Rattus norvegicus: one gene and its partners. The protein of the gene in region 1 interacts with the protein of each later gene in a biochemical or structural test. Links are inferred from orthologs where the notes say so. Each region holds a gene or a part of one and is shown on either strand. Other genes may lie near its edges.

What was found.
Region 2: the proteins of Apoe (region 1) and Lrp8 form a complex in vitro, tested with the Homo sapiens proteins (2 studies listed by BioGRID). The link is inferred for Rattus norvegicus from reciprocal best matches to the Homo sapiens genes APOE and LRP8.
Region 3: the proteins of Apoe (region 1) and Ldlr interact in a biophysical measurement, tested with the Homo sapiens proteins (2 studies listed by IntAct). The link is inferred for Rattus norvegicus from reciprocal best matches to the Homo sapiens genes APOE and LDLR.
Region 4: the proteins of Apoe (region 1) and Snca form a complex in vitro, tested with the Homo sapiens proteins (2 studies listed by BioGRID and IntAct). The link is inferred for Rattus norvegicus from reciprocal best matches to the Homo sapiens genes APOE and SNCA.

What each region holds. Positions count from the first base shown.
Region 1 is NC_086019.1:88,480,787-88,486,484, forward strand, and holds Apoe (apolipoprotein E precursor), read right to left. Parts: upstream 3,914-5,698; 5' UTR 3,841-3,913; exon of another isoform or gene 3,801-3,840; intron 3,735-3,800; exon of another isoform or gene 3,680-3,734; intron 3,085-3,679; exon of another isoform or gene 3,066-3,084; 5' UTR 3,043-3,065; coding exon 3,000-3,042; intron 2,507-2,999; coding exon 2,338-2,506; intron 1,940-2,337; coding exon 1,213-1,939; 3' UTR 1,103-1,212; downstream 1-1,102. UniProt on the Homo sapiens protein: APOE is an apolipoprotein, a protein associating with lipid particles, that mainly functions in lipoprotein-mediated lipid transport between organs via the plasma and interstitial fluids.
Region 2 is NC_086023.1:127,846,743-127,851,669, forward strand, and holds part of Lrp8 (low-density lipoprotein receptor-related protein 8 precursor), read left to right. Parts: intron 1-267; coding exon 268-409; intron 410-1,309; coding exon 1,310-1,462; intron 1,463-2,477; coding exon 2,478-2,702; intron 2,703-4,927. UniProt on the Homo sapiens protein: Cell surface receptor for Reelin (RELN) and apolipoprotein E (apoE)-containing ligands. LRP8 participates in transmitting the extracellular Reelin signal to intracellular signaling processes, by binding to DAB1 on its cytoplasmic tail.
Region 3 is NC_086026.1:28,552,082-28,557,008, forward strand, and holds part of Ldlr (low-density lipoprotein receptor precursor), read left to right. Parts: intron 1-1,682; coding exon 1,683-1,805; intron 1,806-2,321; coding exon 2,322-2,444; intron 2,445-3,267; coding exon 3,268-3,651; intron 3,652-4,889; coding exon 4,890-4,927.
Region 4 is NC_086022.1:91,025,377-91,029,974, forward strand, and holds the end of Snca (alpha-synuclein), read right to left. Parts: intron 2,711-4,598; coding exon 2,627-2,710; intron 1,694-2,626; coding exon 1,661-1,693; 3' UTR 1,098-1,660; downstream 1-1,097. UniProt on the Homo sapiens protein: Neuronal protein that plays several roles in synaptic activity such as regulation of synaptic vesicle trafficking and subsequent neurotransmitter release.

The DNA of each region.
Region 1 (5,698 bases):
AACTCACTCCCCATACACTTGCTGGGAAAGTCAAAAGGCAGGCAGGGGAGAAAAAGTGGGGCTGACTCCCTATGACCCAGAGGGAGTAAAGACCCAGCAAGCTAACTTCAGAGTAAATGAGAAAGGCTGAGGCTCCAAGAGCCACCGCATAGAAAGGGCCAAGCAAAGGCCCAGAGCGAAAGAAACCGCAGGAGGGTGAGATAACAGAAGATCAGGAAAACAGGAAGCCCAAAAGGGAAGCCTAGAAGAGACAAAGCAAGGAGAGTGTACCAGATAAGACTATCGCGGAGTAGGAATAAGACAAAGAGAAAAGTAAACACCACCTGGCGACTCTGGTCTCTTACATGTTGATTCATGGCATAGCTGAGGAGCGGGTGTTTAAGTTGGGAAAGATAGCCCAACAGACAGACATAAAGTGGTACACACCTTTCTCAGTTCCTACGGAGATTGAAGACAAAGATTCAAAGATTCAACTAGGCTGGAGTGAATGCAACGAGGAATCAGTTAAGATGCTATTTCAGACTAAAAAGCGTGGATATACCTAAACGTAAGAGCCCCTGCCTAGAATCGCCCTCCCCCCACCCCGCCCCAAGGGTGTGGGCGTGGCTCAGTGGTAGGCGCTGGACTCGAATTCCCCCATCGAGGGGGCTGGGGGCGTGGCTCATGGTAGAATTCCCCATTGAGAGGTTGGAGGTGTGGCTCAGTGCTAGATACAATCCCCAAGTGATGGGTGCGGGCGTGGCTCGGTGATAGAACCCCTACTAGAATCCCCCCAGTGAGATCTAGAGGCGTGGTTCAGTGGTAGAGCCCCTCCCTAGAATCCCCCCAGTGAAGGACTGGGGGCGTGGCTCAGTGGAAGGTAGAATCGCCCGGTGAAGGGTTGCGGGCGGGGCTCAGAGGTAGAGCACTTGTCCTTTGGCGTTGCTAGCTCCTAGGTTTTATCTCTATTACTGCAAAACCAAAGCAGAGCAGACCAAACTAGACTTGAAATAAAGCACATGACCTCCTTCTACAGACATGGCCATGGAATGTGTGCTATGTCAGGCAGAAACGATAAACTGAGGCTGAAGCTGTGTGGAATCACTCACAGAGACTCAGAACGTGCTTGGAGAATCTTTATTAAGCAAGGGCCACCAGAGGGCCAGAGTGGTGCTTGGGACAGGGCCACCTGGCTGGTCATGGATGTTGCGGCAGGGCGTAGGTGAGGGATGATCATTGATTCTCCAGGGGCACTGTGGTGGAGGCAATGGAGTTGGTAGCCACAGAGGCCTGTATCTTCTCCATTAGGTTTGCCCACTGGCGCTGCATGTCTTCCACTAGCGGCTCGAACCAGCCCTTGATGCGGGCCTGGAAGATCTCGGCCTGCAGGCGTATCTGCTGGGTCTGCTCCTCCATCTTGGAGCGCACCTCCTCCATCTGCTCACGCACCTCCTCTAGGCGGTCTCGGGCCTGGTTGCCCACTTCCTCCAGCCGCCCTCGGATGCGGTCACTCAAAGCCTGGGCGCGATCGCGCAGGGGCTGGGCGGCGCCAGCGCCTAGGTTGGCTGTGCGCTGACGACCCTGCTCCACCAGTGGCCCCAGGCGCTCACGGATAGCACTCACACCGCGCTCGGCGCCCTCCTGTGCCCCGGCCTTGTACACCGCCAGGCGCTTCTGCAGATCATCCGCATCCCGCATCAGGCGCTTGCGCATCTTGCGCAGGTGTGTGGAGAGGCGCGACCGCAGCTCCTCTGTGCTCTGGCCCAGCATGGTGTTTACCTCGTTGCGGTACTGCCCGAGTCGGTTGCGTAGATCCTCCATGTCAGCTCCCAGACGGGCCTGTGCCGCCTGCACCTCTTTAGCCAGCCTGGCCCGTGTCTCCTCCGCCACTGGGCCCAGCTGTTCCTCCAGCTCCTTTTTGTATGCCTTTACTTCCGTCATAGTGTCCTCCATCAGTACCCTGCAGGCCCAGAGGAAACACAAGAGGGAGATGAATGCAGAGACAAAAAGGTCAGAATTAGGGTGGGAGGAAACCACAGAGCGAGGTGCGGTGGTACTCGCTTGTATTCCCAGAAGTTGAGAAGCTGAGGAAGGAGAATTGCAGAGCCTTCGAAGCCAGCTTAAGTTAGATTGGGATCCTGTCTCAAAAAGCCAAAAGCCATTCGACCAAGAACATAAATGAATGCCTGTTCATCCCAGTATCCAGAAGGCTAAAGAAAGCAGAAGTATTGAGAGTTCAAGGCCAACCTGGCCCACACACTCATGGAGAAAGGAAACAAGTAGGTAGGTGCCCAGATAGGAGGAACCCCTGGATCTGGATACTCAGCAGGTGCGGAGGGTGAAGCGCTGAGCACTCACGTCAGTTCCTGTGTGACTTGGGAGCTCTGCAGCTCTTCCTGGACCTGGTCAGAAAGCGTCTGCACCCAGCGCAGGTAATCCCAGAAGCGGTTCAGGGCCTGCTCCCAGGGTTGGTCGCTTTGCCCTGGGAGCTGATCTGTCACCTCCAGCTCTCCCTCGGCCAGGCATCCTGTGTAGAGTAGTAAGTTTAAGGCTGGGTCAGGACCTACAGTGCTCTTGGGTCTCTTTGAAGCAACAGTGCGTCTGGAAGTCAGTCGTGGAGTCTGTTTAGATACTACAAGCATACACTGTCTAGTATCCTATGTAGAACAGAGCTGAGACTAGGCTGGTATGGGGTTAGAAAATGTATACCTCCCCTTTAAAAGCGACTAAGAAATTACACACTTCAACTTTTTAATTGTGTGTCTGTGTGTGTACCCTTGGAGGTCAGAGGACAACTAGAGAGAATCCGCTCTCTCCTTCCACCATGTTGGGCTCCGAGATAAGTCTTCGAGCTTTATGACAAGCACCTTTACCCTCTGAGCATCAATCCTCTCATATTATGGATAGGGAAAGACAAGGCCTGCATGTAAAACAGCTGCTCAGGGCTATTGAATCTCAGAGGTCTCAGAACTGCCCCAACCCCAACCTGCCAGCAGGGAAAGCCACCCCTTGCCCCATACCTGTCAGCAATGGGACCAACAGCAGGGCCCACAGAGCCTTCATCTTCCCAGTTGTGATTGGCCAGTCTGCGGAAGGAAAAGCTGTCTTTGAACACCAGTGGGTAGGGGTGGAGAAACTCGGGCCACCCAAAGAGCCCCCACCTTAATTCCCTTCTCAGGTCTGTGAGTCATCACAAACATCTCCACAATAGAGCATCTGCCCAAAGGTCTATTTACCTCCCCCTCCTATCTCTATCTCAGCACCCCGGGGTGGACCCGCTGCCAAAAATTCCAGCTCCCAGTCCTAGGGTTCAAATTCCACAACGCAGAGGGACAGCCGGTGGTCCAATTTACATTCCTTTCTACCTTCCCTGCTAAGCCGGGCTCTCGGTTTAGTACTAATGTAAGTTTTTAATCGTCCTCCATCCCTGCGAAGTGGTACCCTCCCGCGACCCCAGAACTTCGGACGCTCAGGCATGAGGATCTTCGCTTTGAAACTGGCCCAGGGTAATTTTGGGGACTGTGATGGAAATCAGTAGGTATTTATATAAACGCAACCTAAGGCTCATCGCGGGTCCTTTCGCTAAAGATTGATACTACCTTCTAGTTGAGCCCGTATGCAGTGCACCGACAGTCCCATACTCCTGGAGATGACCCCTCCATCTCCTCCATCTGTTCTGACCCCGGCAAAGGCTAGTTACCTCACGATCTTAGTTTGTCTCCCCGCCACCCTAAGTCTTCTATCGGGCTTCCTGCTTTTCTAATAATTGTGCCTGTTTCCTGGACTCCAGCGGATTTCAAGGTCCCCTGCCCACGTCTTACCAAGCCCCCTGGGTGAATCGCCAGCCCAAGCTTGTCTTACCAGCTCCTTCCGAAACAACTCCTTAGCCTCCGGGGTCTGAGCAGGGGACCGGATCCCAGACCTGTCCAATTATAGGACTCCCCCTGCCCCGCCCCCTCCTCAGGGCTAGGGCGGGCTGGGCCAACCCCCTGTCACGAGGCGGGTTGCTCTCCCCCCCCCCCTTCACAGCAGGGCAGAGGAAAGAGGTGGAGTTTTGATGCCTTGTGACCCCCCCCCCCCCCCAAAAAGGAGCTGACTCCTCATTGAATAATCCAGGCCTTGGTGCTGGGGCACTGAGTACTGCTTCTCCCCTTTCCCGCGGGGTCTGGTGCATTCGTTGTACGGAAAAGGGCTGGAGGCTTAAATGGAAATAGGTGGGGGGCTCTATCTGTTAAGAGGCTCAGCTTCTGGGATGAAAACTGAGTTTTAGCCCTGGCCCCTCTTTGTTGATTCCTCTGCCACGGGTGAACTCTCCCCATCCCCGGGCTGGGGACATGCTCCTTTCCTTCAGGAGCTGTTCAGTGGTGGCTCCCAATGGATTTGAAGCCATACATTGTCAAGCCCTGGGAACCCAAGTGTTGATGCTACTGTCCTGTTTCTGGCGGTTGCCGGATGTATAATCTTGGGAGGGGGAGCTATCCCCACCCCTACTGAGCACAACTTTCAAGTTGTTTTGCGATCGGATCCTCGGGCTGCCCTTAAAGTCACAAAGGTCCTTTTGCCTCTGCTGTGGCATGCTGGGGTTGCAGGTGTGCCCCTCGGCACATGCATTTGCCTTTTCCAAGCACTTTTCCTTTTCTTCATGAAAGAAGTGTAGGGGCTGGAGAGATGGCTCAGAGGTTAAGAGCACTGACTGCATTTCCACAGGACCCAGATTTAAATCACAGCATTCGCAACTCAACACCCAGATTTGACAGCCCTACAGGGACATACATGCCGGCAAAACACCCAACACACTTAAGAGACAAGCCAGAAGAACAGCTATTTATGGGGACATGTGCCTCTAGTCCTAGTCACTTGCAGAGCTGAGGCAGGAGGATCCCCTGAGCTCAGGTAATAGAACAGAGCCCAGGCTAGCACATGGCAAGGCTGCTGTTACCGGGCTGTCAGGTAGGGCCAAGGGCTCACACACCACTCGGATGCTTGCTGAAGTGCCGCCTGCACAGGGGTTCCCATTCCCAGCTGTTGCTCAGAGGGTGGCAGTAGGAGAAGCCTCCTAACAAGGCTTGGCAGCAGATATGGCAACACATGACTCCGCAGGATGGGAAGAGGTGGAACACCTGGTTCCAAGGGTACAGGGTGCCGGGCCCAGGCCTGTTAGTTTTGGCTTAAAACACTGACAAGGAGTGGGTGTGGTGAGATGATTTTCATGGGTTACTAAGGGCCAGCTTCCATCTCCAGATGGCAGTAAAAAGGGTTTCAGTGTTGCGGTCTAGAGGGTCATTGACCAGTTCATCTTGAGTCTTCTCCTCCAGTGGGGTGCCAGGAGGAGCAGTGGTGGCATGCAGGCCCAATTTGAAGATGTGACCACACACACATCAGAGCTGGGGCTGGAATGCAGCTCCACGGAAAAGCACTTTAGTGACCCAGCACCTGCCTGATACGTGAGGGCTGGAGTTATATCTTCAACAAAATTAAAAGAACCAAAAAAAAAAAAAAAAAATCCCCAAAACCTTCACGTTTCCTGTTTTAGTCTGGGAAGGTCCTAGGGCCCCTTCCTCCCCCCTCAGTTACTTTCTTTATTGTGCTGAACTTCCAGGAACTTGGTTTCTTCCTGAAGTTTCTGAGACCTCTGACCTTCCCACTGGGAGAAAGTCAGCACATGCTACCACCTCAGCCCTTTTTGGGACAGGGAGGCTCCTGAGCCCCATCTCCCTGC
Region 2 (4,927 bases), on another chromosome or scaffold:
CCCAGGTGTAGTCATGCAACCTTGGTTTTCTTTTGGCTTCAGGAAGTGAGCCTAGCTCGGCAGCACAGAATCACCAAGTAGTCATCTAAGACAGAAGGAAGCTAGGAGGCTTTGCTTCACCGGCAGAGGCAGAGTCCTCTGAACCCCTGTGGGCAGGGTAGACAGCGCTGACTCCGGTTTGTCCTGTCCCTGACTTGGGGCGAGGCCCTCAGACTGGGATGGAGTTTGGATGCTGGGCTTCCTACCCTTCACATCTGTACTCTGCAGGACAAGGTATTCTGGACGGATCTGGAGAATGAGGCCATTTTCAGCGCAAATCGGCTCAATGGCCTGGAGATCTCCATCCTGGCTGAGAACCTTAATAACCCACATGACATTGTAATCTTCCATGAGCTGAAGCAGCCAAAGGGTAAGTAAGCCTTCCCTGGTCCCCGCCTGCCTGTGCCCTCTCCTGACACCTGACAGGCTATGTCTTCCCATTTGTGTCTTGACCCAGCATCCCCAAGAATACAATAATCCCTCTTGTTGTAGAGTGTGTTGTCATATCTGGTTTCACTCTGCTTCAGCCTCTGTGTGACACAAGGCTAGGAACAAACACATAGGCGTCCTAGTTTTGCCGATAACAGGTGCTTTTTGTATGTCTCATTCAACAATTGAGGAAACTGAAGTTGGAGAGAAAAAACAATGTTAGCAGGTAGAACAAAAATCTAAACCGGAGGCCACCTGATTGCCAAGTTCCTTCTGTCGCGACACATCAGTGTGCACTTACTTCTAGCACCCATTTTGCAGTACTGCAAACTCCTGTGTCTCCAGGCCTTACAGTTAGCCAGGTGGCTTACTGGGAACGGTCTAATAGTCGTACCACAGGGCTGTGTCATCCGCTGCCATGACCAGCTGTAACCAGTAATGGCTGCCAGGGTAAGGGAGACAGCAAAGAGAGGGGCAAGACGATGAGGTCTGCACCTGATTCTAGTTCTAGAGACTTAAAGCAGAAAGAGACGGCAGGTGCCCAGAGGAGGAACAAACGAGACAGACACAGTCGGGGAGAGGTAGACTTAAAATTCCTAGAGTTGTAACGTGTCCGTGTGTTCTCTGAGGGTAGGCTTCTCTGTCACCTGGAACCGTAACCCACCTCTCAGAACTGTAAGAATGAATGAGGGTAACGATAAAGTCCCAGCTACTATGCTGGTGGGGAAAGATTTCTGTGCAAGTCCAGTTGGTGGGAACTCACTATTGGTAGACAAGAGGACCTGGCATGGCCTGTCAATCTCCCAACATGCTCTCTGTCTGCTCCTCCCCCTGCCATTAGCTGCAGATGCCTGTGAGCTGAGTGCCCAGCCCAATGGCGGCTGTGAATACCTGTGCCTTCCTGCTCCTCAGATCTCCAGCCACTCTCCCAAGTACACCTGTGCCTGTCCTGACACAATGTGGCTGGGCCCAGACATGAAGAGATGCTACCGAGGTTAGTGACAAACATTGCCCTGGACTCGTAGGGACTCAGTATGCTCCAGCTTTTCCTCCAACTTCCCCGGTTGCCTCTCACATCTGCACCTTCGTCTTATCTAAACGTCCTTGACAGAGTGAGTTCATGGCACCCTCCAAGGCTTTCCCATCTCCAAGAAAAGTGCAATGCGCATAAAATGCTTTAAATTCGACTTTCAGGAAGTTTCTAGAATCCCTTGAAAACCAAGTTAATGGGGCCTGGAGTAGGCTCCGTGGCTGAGAGCACTTGCTGCTCTTGCAGAGGACTCTGGCTCAGTTCCTAGCACCTATATGATGGCTTTCAACCATTCCTAACTCCAACTCCAGAAGTTCCAACCCTGATTCCTTCTACTGACTTCTGAGGATACCAGGCGAGCTCGTGGTGCCCAGGCAAAGCACCCGTAGATACAAAATAAAAACAGATCAAAAAGTAAAAATTAAAATGAAGAAAACTTCGAGTAAAGAGCCCTTGGTCCTTGCTGACCATTTGTAGCAGATGCCTGTTCTTAGCTAGACCTGGCACACTGCGTAGATGCCCTTGAGTGCAGTTGTGACTAATGGTGGACTAGCACTTCATCCTCACAACTGGGCTTTGTTTCTCAGTCCCCATGTGTAGCCAAACCTTGGGTTTGAGCATCAGGCCTGTTACATCATTTACAATGTCCAGATTCAACTGTTTAACGTGAAGAATTTAAACCTGACGATGTAACTACAGACGAGGATGAAATGCTTCTCAATTTGTATTTCTGCTCCCTCTGGTCTTTTACAGAGGCCTCCTCCACACTTGTCTCCACAGCTCTGTCCCACGGACCCGTCTTTATCAGATCAAAGTGAAGTGCTAGGACTCAGCTTCAGAGAAGATCACGGCCCATTCGGGGATGGGGGAAAGTTTCACAATAGTGGCATCTGAGCTAAGCCCAGAGGCTGAGCCCCTACTGGAACTCAGCAACCATAACTGGGCACCAAAGCAACAAACTGCTGTCTTTCCCCTCTAGCACCTCCGTCTACCTCAACTACAACCTTAGCCTCTGCTATGACAAGGACAGTACCTGCTACTACGGGAGCCCCTGGGACAACCATCCACGACTCTACCTACCAGAACCACAGCACAGAGATGCCAAGCCAGACAGCTGCCGTCCCTCACTCAGTGAACATCCCTAAGGCTCACAGCACCAGCCCGTCCACCCTGAGCCCTGCAACCAGCAACCACTCCCAGCACTGTAAGGAAGTCAGCTCTGCATTTCGTATAACTTGGGGGAAGCCAAGATGAGGGTCGGGAGTGGCTAGGAAGGAAGATCTTGTAATGTCCACCTCTTAGGAGGAAGCAAGGGAGAGAAGGTCCTGTCCTGGGATTGAGGAAGCTTGGGTGTCCATAAGTTTAAAAGGACCTGGAGGCAAACCATTCGTTCATCTCTAAACGTCAGTCTCCCCCTAAAAGGAACCAATAATAAGCTACACTCGACTTGCTTCTCAAGATGGTCAGGAGAGGCAAAGGCTCCTGGCAGTGGTGGTCAGCAAACAGGAGACAGGACAGGCAGATCTCTAAGTTTTAGGCCAGCCTGATCTACATAGAGAGTTCCAGGCCTGCCAAGGCAATATGGTAAGACCCTGCCTCAAAGAGGGAACTAGGCAAAAGAGGCATTGTGAATGGAAGTGCCCAGCTGCCTGGGTATGTGTCAGTGTTCCATGTGTTCCTGAGGTGGGTGTCGTCGAGTTTGGAAAGCTCTATCCGAGCTCCCGGCAGCCTTGGTAAGCTGCCCAGGCAGTAATGTCTGTAAAGTATGATCTGCTTGTGCCTGTTTCCAAATCTTGGATAGAATAACTAAGCTTAGTACTTCTTTAATCCTTGGGAGCAGTAATTGTCCTGTTGGAACAGCTGTATCTCATTAACCAGAAAATACCTTTATAATTGCCGGGGGGCTTCATTTTAAATGATAAACCATCTCTCATTTTTTCCCCATACACGGCTGGCCCAGAAACCAAGCAACCTGGTGACATTGTTCAGATCAGGGCTGTTTAGCCAGCAGAGGCTAGGTTCTAAGAATAGACGTTTGAGGCAGCCTGGTGTTTGCAGAGGTGGAATTCCATTTCCTCTCATGGGGGCAGAGGTCTGAGTGTTCTCTCAGGTCTTGGGACGTTTCCTAGCACATCAGAGCAAGGGGACAGCAGTGCTTCCAATTAGCTTGTTTTCTTCCTTCTTTGTATGCGTGCATGCCTGTGCGTGTGTGCGTGCGGGCGTGTGTGTGTGTATGTGTGTGTGTGTGTGTTTGTGTGTGTGTGTGTACATGTTCATCTTTGTGCACGTGTGTGTACTGAAGGTGTATAATATGTATGTGTGCTTGTTGAAGCTGGAGATCAACCTTGGGAGTGTTCTCAATAGTTCTGCAATATAATTCTTGAGACAGTCTCTCACAGAACCTGGAGCTCACTGGTTCAGCTAAAGTGGCTGGCCAGCAAGCTTCAGGTCTCCTCCTGTCTCCTTCCTCAGCCAGGGCTATGGGCACATGCTGCCATGCTTGGCTTTACATGAATTGGGAGCAGAACTCAGATCCCCATCCCTAAATGGCAAGCACTTAACAAGTGAGCCATCTCTCCAGCGCCCTCCAATTAGCTAACTTGGTGAACAGGGCAGCTCCCTGATTAGCCAGAGTTTCTTGAAGTAACATGGAGAAATAGATTGGGGGGCATTGCCAGTGGCTAGCCATTCCTCTCACACCTCAGAGGGCTCTCATGGGATCCCAGGGCATAGAGCTGTACAGGTGTCTCAGGTGTCTTAGAGCTAGGGAAGGATATTTATTTAAAACAATACATTTATAATTACTCTTCATTTAAGAATGGGCTTTTATGTGCCTTTAACAGCAACAAGGATCCTTTAGAGATGGGGTCTCGCTATGTAGCCCAGGCTAGTCTAAACTTGAGGTCTTCTATCCTTACCATCCCGAGTGGGGTGTGATATGCATTCACCATCATGCCTGGCTAACAAACCTTTTTAAATTTAACCCTCATCATAACTACTACCACCTCACTACCATCTTGAATTAGGCAATGCCAGCCAGATATTGTGCTAAGTATCTGATATGATCCCATTTAATCCTTAAATGGACCCCTAAGAGGTAGAAAATATTTTAAGATAAATATAATATACATATAATATACATTATACGTTTAATATTACATTAACTTCCACAGGGTCACACGGGTAATGTGTAATAGAGATAGAATTTGAACCGAGGAAGCCTGACCCAGAAGCCTATGCTCCCAATTACACTCTACTACATTCCAGTATATCAGGTTTTAATCTCTTAGGAAAACAAGCTGGTAGTGCATAGAACAGGCAGACCACCAAAACAGTGGAGACAGTGCATTGGATTTTAGTGGAAAAAGACAGCCAGCCCCATCGGCAGCAAGGAGACCTAAGCTCTCACCTGCCGCGTAGCCCCCAGCT
Region 3 (4,927 bases), on another chromosome or scaffold:
ATTAAAACTTAAAAAGAGGGCTGGAGAGATGGCTCAGTGGCTAAGAGCACTGATGACTGCTCTTCCAGAGGTCCTGAGTTCAATTCCCAGCAACCACATGGTGGCTCACAACCATCTGTAATGGGATCTGATGCCCTCTTCTGGTGTGTCTGAAGTCAGCTACAGTGTACACACACACACACACACACACACACACACACACACACACGCAAAGTAAATATTATAAATAAATAAATAAGAATAAAACAAAAGGAGCAGGAAAGAAAAAGAAAGCAAAAGAAGCACGCCCATTCAAGACACATACATGTGAAGTCTATAAAAACACACCATTAATCGGAAACCATAAAATACAAACAAAAGACCAGTAAAGTTAAGGGGAAAAAACTGAGAAAGGTCCAAAGATAGCTTCTGAGTTAGGGTCGGGCTCTCACGTCCAGCTACCCTCACAGGGCTGGAACCCTGTCAGGCTTGGACCTATGTGTTGATCTGCGCATGCTGCCACAGTGTCTGTGAGTTCACGTGTGTCAGTCCAGCTGTATCTGGAAGGCCTTGCTTTATCCGTCTCCTCCAACCCTCTGGCTCTCGCAACTGTTCCGCCTCCTCATTCGGCAGAAGGGTTCCCGGAGCCCTGAGGCGAGAGATTTAGTCCTATTTAGTACTAAGTGTTCCACTTACCCAGCAATTAACAGTTAACAGCACAGGGACATACTTTTTCATAGCCAATAAATGCAGTGGTTGTGGGTCATCCCAACACGGCTGTGAGTCTCTGTGTGTGCTCCCATCCACTGCAGGAGGGCGCTTCTCTGCTGATGGCTGAGCAAGGCACTGATCTCTGAGTGTAGCGGAATGTCATTGGGGTGCTGTGAACAGACACCATGACTAGGGCGAGTCTCATAAGGACATTTCACTGGGGCTGGCTTACAGGTTCAGAGGTTCAGTCCATTAGCATCAAGGTGGGAACATGGCAGCATCCAGGCAGGCATGGTGCAGGAGGAGCTGAGAGTTCTACATCTTCATCCGAAGGCTGCTAGAAGTCTGACTCTCAGGCAGCTGGGAGGAAGTTATTAAAGCCACACATGCACTCCAACAAGGCCACACCTAATAGTGCCTCTCCCTGGGCTGAGCATATACAAATCCTCTCGGAGGTCATTCCGCTGCTGGGTTCCTTTAGCAGAATGTACTTGCTTCTCCCGCTAGGTCCATCCCTTTCTAATCTCAGGTTCTCGGCCATGGTGGCGTGTCAGATACAGGTTCCCTCTCATGAGGATCTGATAGCTGTTTACTTGGTACAACTTTTGTGCCTCGACTGTACCAGCATATCAGGGGCTCAGGTGACCCGTACTTTAATCTCAACACTCAGGAGGCAGCGGCAGGCAGATTCCTGTGAGACCAAAACCATCCTGTTCTATATAAAGTTCAAGGCCAGCCAAAACTACACGGTGGAAACCCGTCTCAAAATAAGTTTTAAAAATAACCAATTAAGCCCGATACGTTTTCATACTTTATTCAACAGCCCAGAAGTCGGTCCTAACACCTGATGGATTTCCTCTTTGTGTTTATTTGTTGATCCTCAGCTGCCCTCTCGGGTACATTGGCTACCTCTGCTGCCTTCCCCGGTTAGCTGATGTGGCCATCTTTGCTGTGCTGATGACCACACCCTTCCTTCCCTTTCGCTCTTGCAGCAGAAGATTCATGTGGCAAGAACGAGTTCCAGTGTAGAGACGGAAAATGCATCGTCAGCAAGTGGGTGTGTGACGGCAGCCGCGAGTGCCCGGATGGCTCCGATGAGTCCCCTGAGACATGCAGTAAGTCGCCTCTGATTGTGGGTGTTTGTAGAGACAGAACCCATGGCCCTTCCCGTTCTAGTCAGGGGCTTTTTCCCCCAGCGCTCTCCTAGTTTATATCGTGCCAGAGCAGTCCAGCAACCCTAAGTTCAATCCTCAATTTGAAGAAGGCTCAGAGTGACCATCCCTAATCCAAATATTCAAAATCCAAAGCATTTTGTATGCTGTGATGATGGATTTGGAAAGTTTCACACCTAGCCTCATGCTATGCCTTGCAGCAGGCACAACAGTCCATTAACAGTGCTGTGTGGAATTGCTTTTAGGGGCTGTTAAGATGAGAGCAGGCACTTGGGGTCAGCCTTCATGATATGAGTTTGATCCCTGGAATTCATATGGTAGAAGGAAAGAATGTCCTGTATGTCCTGTGACCGCCACACACACACACACACACACGCACACACACACACACACGCAAGAGATGGACCTGGCCTAACTAAATTGTGTTCCTTTTGAGTGATGGCTCCTCTTTATCCCTAGTGTCTGTCACCTGTCGATCCGGTGAGTTCAGCTGTGGAGGCCGCGTCAGCCGATGCATTCCTGACTCCTGGAGATGTGATGGGCGGACCGACTGTGAAAATGGCTCGGATGAACTAGACTGCTGTAAGTGACGCTCAGACCACCCTGGATGTGGCGTGTGTGTGCGCGCGCGCGTGCGCGCGCGCATGTGTGTGTGTGTGTGTGTGTGTGTGTGCATGCATGCTGGCCCATCTTGCACTAAAGAGTCCCCTAGGGGCCCTGGGATGTAACAGTCGTTCCCGAGTGGACTCCACCTGAGTTCTGGTGTGTGCTTGCTCCTATGGCTTAAATCCCACCTTGAGAGATGATGCCTCCTCCGTGGACATCAGAAGCATTTATGGAGGGGGAAGCTCTGATGACTGTCGCCAGGGAGCCCACTTGTAGGCTGCCTCCCTGCCTTAAGTGCCCACATTGGCGGGAAGGCTGAGCTGTGTTCGGAGTCCAATCAGAGCTGACGTACTAGCCGCCAATGTGTTTATCAGCTGTGCGTCATGATGTCATACCTCTTATGTGCCGATCCACAGGGCAGACTTGGGACGTGAGAGTGCCAAACCCTGAATGTTATCTCCATGTAATGTGGGTTTCCCCATACCTACATACCCTCAATAGTGGAATTTATATATTTAGCAAGGTAAGCAGTTCACAGCACAACCTAAAGTGCTAAGATGTGGATCAACCCCTGCCTAGAATCTCCACCCCAAAGAGGGGCTCGTTGGTACAGGAGTGGCTTGATACTTTACCGTGTGAGGGAAACTGAGGCAGAGACAGGTGTGTTGTAGCTTTCTGGGCCTTTGCCTACTACCACCATGTTTTTTTGAGGCACAGGGTCCTGTCTGTGAGTAGGCTGGTGTGTGGTGGTATGAGCCATAGCATGACAGGGCGCTCTCCTCTCTGTGCACCCCCACAGCCCCCAAGACGTGCTCCCTGGATGAGTTCCGCTGCCAGGATGGCAAGTGCATCTCCCGGCAGTTTGTGTGTGACCAAGACTGGGATTGCCTGGATGGCTCTGACGAGGCCCACTGTGCGGCCACCACTTGTGGCCCTGCTCACTTCCGCTGCAACTCCTCTTCCTGCATCCCCAGCCTGTGGGCCTGCGACGGGGACCGGGACTGTGACGATGGCTCCGATGAGTGGCCGCAGAACTGCGGGGGCCGAGACACGGCCGCTGAGGTGGTCAGCAGCCCCTGCTCCTCCCTCGAGTTCCACTGTGGCAGTAGTGAGTGTATCCATCGCAGCTGGGTCTGTGACGGTGCGGCTGACTGCAAGGACAAGTCGGACGAGGAGAACTGCGGTAAGGCCCTGGGGAGGAGGGATGGATGATGGCTCTCCAGGCCCTGTATGCGGGGCTTTGGGGCTTAGAAATAGCCAGACTGCCCAGAGAGGAAGTTTTGTTTTGGGTAAGGGGCTGTTTGGGTGGGTAGAACACCTGTCTCCAGAGCATGAAGTCCTGAGTTCAAATCTCCTGCAGACAGCCATGCTCGAGCCTGTGATTCCAGTGCTTGTGGGATGTGGAGACCGGAGCTGGCTACCAGCCTGGCTCCCAGTTCATTGAGAGACCCAGACTCGGGGAGGAGGAGGAGAAGGAGCCAGAATTACAGGAGCACATACCCGCATGTGCACACATACTGTGCAATAAATTTTTAAAAATTAACCAAAGATAAAGGCTGGGTCTGGTGGCACACACCTTTAGGAGCAGGTTGATCTCTGTGAGTTGAAGGCCAGCCTAGTCTACATACTGAATTCCAGGAAAGCCAGGGCCTTGTAGAGAGAACCTGTCTCCAAAAACCAAAGGAAATGATTTTGTTTTAAAAAACCAACCAAAGATAAGTTTAAAAAAAATATATTTTTTTCTTTCTTTGGAACAATGAATTTTAAGAGGGCCAAATCTGTGGCTCACTTAGTAAGTGTCTTAGTTTTCTGTGGCTACGGGCAGTGACCAAGGCAACTTAGAGGAGAGAGAATTTGGTGAGGTTTACAGTTTCAAGGGTGAGTTCATGACCGCCATGGTGGGAGCGTGGCAGCAGGCAGGCGGGCATGGTGTCATAGCTGTAGTTGAGAGCTTACATCTGATCCACAAGCGTGAGGCGGAGACAGTGCTAACTGGGAAGGGTGAGAATCCTTTGAAATCTCACAGCCTGTTCCCAGGGACACGCCTCCTCCAATGAGGCCACACCTGCTAATCCTTCCCAAACAGTTCTACCAACTGGGGGCCAAGGATTTTTAAACTTAGGACCCAATCAGGACTGTTCTCCTTCAAACCACCATGCCACACATTCATGAGTCCCAGGTTTCAATCCCCTGGATGATTTATTTAAAGACAAAATTATTAGTGTACATGATACATGTGTGTGGCAACACATACAGAGGTCATAGGGCAACTGTGAGTCCTCACCATCCACTGTGAAGACTCCAGAGATTGGCTCAGCCTTTGGGTTTGCTGGTAATTGCTTTTGCTTGCCAGCCCTATAGCTGCAGTTAAGCAGAGCAGCTTATCCGTGCTTCTTGTGATGGTCACCCTGTCCTCCACAGCGGTGACCACCTGCCGACCTGACGAATTCCAGTGTGCA
Region 4 (4,598 bases), on another chromosome or scaffold:
CTGAATTTATATATTTCAATACATCACAAATAGTTACACAAGTTACTTGCATCTTACAATCTAGGAGAGAGACTTTTGAAAGAGACACGAGTTAAAAGTCCAACGTGTCCACTTGATTGTGTTGTGCGGCCAGCCGTGTGTCCAAGCCTGCTGTGGAAGGCTTTCTTTAAAGTCGTTGGTGGACTCATTACAGATCAAACAGCTCTGACTTGGGATTTCAAGCTGAAAAGCTAGAGCTTTAGTTAAGAGGCATCCTCAGACTGCACTAGTCAGGGGCAGGACCCTTATCAGGGCACGTGTGCACTGAGAAACCACTTTTAGGTGTTGAGTGAAAAATCAATGCTTAGGATAAAACAAAGCAAAGCAACAAAAACCAATTAACTGCTTCTATATCAACAGTCAGACACTGCTTAAGAGAAGAACTGGCTGGTTGATTACCTCCTCCCCAAAGCTCCCTGGGACTAAAGCACCAATGGGTACACATGGAGAGACCGTTGGCTCCAGTCGCATGTGTAGCAAAAGATGGCCTCCTCTGGCATTAACAGGAGGAGAAGCTTTTGGTATTGTGAAGGCTCTTTTTCCCAGTGTAGGAGAATGCCAGGGTGTTGAGGTGTGAGTGGGTGGGTGTGAATGGGAGCACATTCATAGAAACAGGTGGAGGAGGGATGGGGAATGGGAAAGGTACTTCCTGAGTTCTTCCTTACACACACACACACACACACACACACACACACACACACACACACACACACACATGTGTACATGCAATAAATTAAGCAGGTTCTTCCACAGCCTGCCTTGGATATGCTAATATGTCTTATGAATATGTAAAAGGGCTGTAGTCGCTATCCCTCACACCTTTCAGTTCCAATGAAGTGTTTCTCAGTGCTCCCACAGCTCTGAGCAGGACTGTATATCAAGCTGGCTGTGGGCAATGGCACTGGAGAATTCCTCCTGCAGGAGAGAGTTCCATCTCTAACACTTCCCAATTCTTCAAGATAGTGTTAAGACTTTACATTCTAGTTCATTTTGTCAGCTGTTATTTCATGTTCATGCTCCTGATACGCATGATTTTGTTACTAAAGTGAAACAGGAAAAAGGTTTTGCAATGAGATAATGTTTTATTTTATTTTAATTTCCACCATTTATATACAAACACAAGTTAATAAAACACGTCACAAAACTGTAAAATTCATAAATTAATATTTATAGGTGCATAGTCTCATGCTCACATATTTTAAAATATATATTAACAAATTTCACAGCACATCATTCTTCTTAGACAGAAAGAATCATTAAGGACATCTAAAAGTCTTATAGCAAATCACAACTTCTTGAGAACAGCAACAAAAAACGGTGAAGAGTTAGAAATAAGTGGTAGTCACTTAGGTGTTTTAAGTTTCTTCTAACATTTTAGGTTTGAAGCCACAACAATATCCACAGCACACAAGAGCCTGCTACCATGTATTCACTGTAGTGAGAGGGGAGCACCGGGATGCTGAGGGGCAGGTACAGGACTCCGATCACTGCTGATGGAAGACTTTGAAATACACTGTACAGCTTTGAGAAAAGGTCATGACTGGGCACGTTGGAACTGAGCACTTGTACGCCATGGAAGAACACCTGGGCAGATCTTAGGACAGTGGGTACAACGACATTCTTAGGCTTCAGGCTCATAGTCTTGGTAGCCTTCCTAATATCAGGAAAAAAATAAGAGCATGCCTTGTCAGTGAAGTGACAGTTATCAACTGTCTGCTTCACAGGAGGGAGGGCTCAGCCTTTCAATCAGATAAAATTGATCCTCAGCTCAGTGTTTGGGGCTTATCTGTCATGAACATGTATTGGTTTTTCCATACGTAGCATCTGTACGTTATAGGGGTCATCACAGATTATTAGGCCTAATTCTAGATATATCCTTTGATCTGTGATTTCGTGCTGCAGTATGAATTGGCTGGGGCTCTGATTTTCTCCTTTGCTCTGCGTTGTGAGCCGTGAACACCTAGGTGAGCTGCATAAAGCCTCCTCCAGAGCTCATCCTTCTCCTTTCTCCCCCATTAGGAAACCCCACCTTCATGAGAGGTTTCCACACAGGCTCATTTATTCTAAAGCCTGAGCCTCCTGGACAAAATCTAGGTAACATTCATAACAGGAATGGTACTTCCTCAATTAATTGATTATATCAGGATTCTACTGTTAAACTAAACCTATTATCAAACTCTTTTTCAAATGTCAATATAAACTTAAATGACAAAGTTAATTTGGGACTCTACAGTTTGTCTATAACCTTAATTATGTCTTCAGCCTTAATCTATCATATTTTATGTTTTCTAAACATGATTCATAACTGCCCATTGTTGCTCAGGCATTTTCATATGCCTTTGTTTCTGGTAACCTCTTGTGCTAGAATGTTCTAAAATGTTCTTCCTTTGACCTGCCATATCCCTTACTCTCTTCCACAAAGATTAAAATCATTTTCTCAAAACCCTTTTTATGATTGAACTACCCAAACCATAATATGAGGGAGATGTGATAGTGGCTGAGTGTTGCACATAGGCATTTACCTCTGAAGGTACCTAAGAAAATACCTAAGGGTATTTTTCTTGGTTTTCTGTTTGTAAGCATTTACCTCTGAAGGCATTTCATAAGCCTCACTGCTAGGGTCCACAGGCATGTCTTCCAGGATTCCCTCTTGTGGGTACCCTTCTTCACCCTACAGACAGGGAAGTGAAAGCACAGTAAGATAGTGTTTTCACTACTGAAGCATAACTTGAAAAAAAATTATGTCAGGTATACCTTCAAGGCGCTACAAGAAGTGTTCTCAGAAGTGCATTCTTCAGAATTACCGAGCCAAACTGTACCAAACCACCAGAGAAAAACATCATGCAAACATGGGTTACCAATCTGAAGCTTTCAAAGCTTTTGCCCAAGTAACTCATTACCCAGGAAGTTGCAAAGCAAAAGACCCTAAGTTCTCTCCATGAGCACAATGTTATAGTAGCAATGATTTGTAGTGAACTGGTAATGATGAATCAAATAATGGCAAAATATTCTATTTTTTTCTGAAATCATGATAATTCTCTAATAGGGACGACTTAATTTTGGTGTAATGTTTAACAGGACATTGTTTGTGGACAGAATCCACACAACACTTGAATCCGAAAGTAAAAATGTTCCAAGAAAGTGGAACTAATATACAGACACATCATTATGGTTTTCCCTAAATTTGTTAAGGCAAAGTCCATGTGTTTTGTAATTCATTGTTTTATTTTATTTTATGTGTAGGGATATTTGCCCTGTGTGTAGGTCTGTGCACTATGCATGTGTGGTGAAAACAGAGGGCAGAAGAAAGCATCACATTCCCAGAAGCTTGAGCTGTAGACAATTGTGATTCTCCATACAGATGCTAGAACATAAACTTGGGTCCCCTGGAAGAAAAACATATGCTCTTAATGACTAAGCTATATTTCTGGCTCCAATAAATTCATTTATAAATGCTCCCAAAGAAATAGTTCTCTTTGGAAATCTGGAAATTATACATACTTGAAGTTAAAAAAGAAGCCAAAGATTAGATTGGACAAAATTTCAGATTATCTCTCCACAGTGCTGACATCATAGCATTCAGTCTGACATGATGTGCCTTCTTTGTTTTCTCCATCAAAGGCCTTTTTGTTCTTTCCCGTTTGTTCCACCAAAGTAATTACTGAATGATAGAGTTCAGCAAATATTCAAAGAACAGAGATGTAACTGGAGCCTAAATGGGCTAATTTGAAGAGATCAAAGGATGCTTAGCTTCTGTGGACAATATGTTCTGTTTAAATGCTATCTCCTTCTGCTTTTATCATAGACATGAAGGACAGGTTGACAGAGGAAAGAAACAACAGTTGATACTAAGGCAAGATCAGACTCTAAAAATCATGTTTTGGCAGCTGGGCAGGGCAGCTTATAGACAATCTTATCCTGATGTACTGATATCACCAACATCTGTTTACAAACCCAGAGAATCCAATTTCCTCATACTTTCAACAAAATTCAAACTGTTCCTAATATATTACTCTAACAGTATTATACATGGAAGAAGTGTGTGTGTGTGTGTGTGTGTGTGTGTGTTGTGTGGTATTTCAACACCAGGACTTGATCACAAGATGCACATTACAAATGCAGCATGTAAGTTATCAAACTTTTGTGACTATGGGCATGTTATCCACACCACTTCTTAGCATCAACTAGCTTTAGTGAGAAAAGACAGCAGAGAGATCATTTTATTTGTATATAATTGTGAGAAGCAAGTGACACAATGAACCCCTCCCCCTGATGTTTAAATACTTTTTAGACAATTCATGTAAAGGAAATATAGTAAAGCGCATGTTCCGTGCATTTTTAAATGTAAACTGTGAGATTTATGTTATAAACTGAATGAGACAATACGGAAGGCTAATTCTAAGGGTTGCTAACTCTGATATTCCTGAATGAGTAGAAGAGAATCTCACAGACTGTGAGTGTCCATGCATACAAGGGGCTAACTGTGTTTGCCCTTCAAAGTTCAGCCAGATAACTCTGGATGTTGCATAGAAATTTCTTTCTGTGTTTACCATGTACTA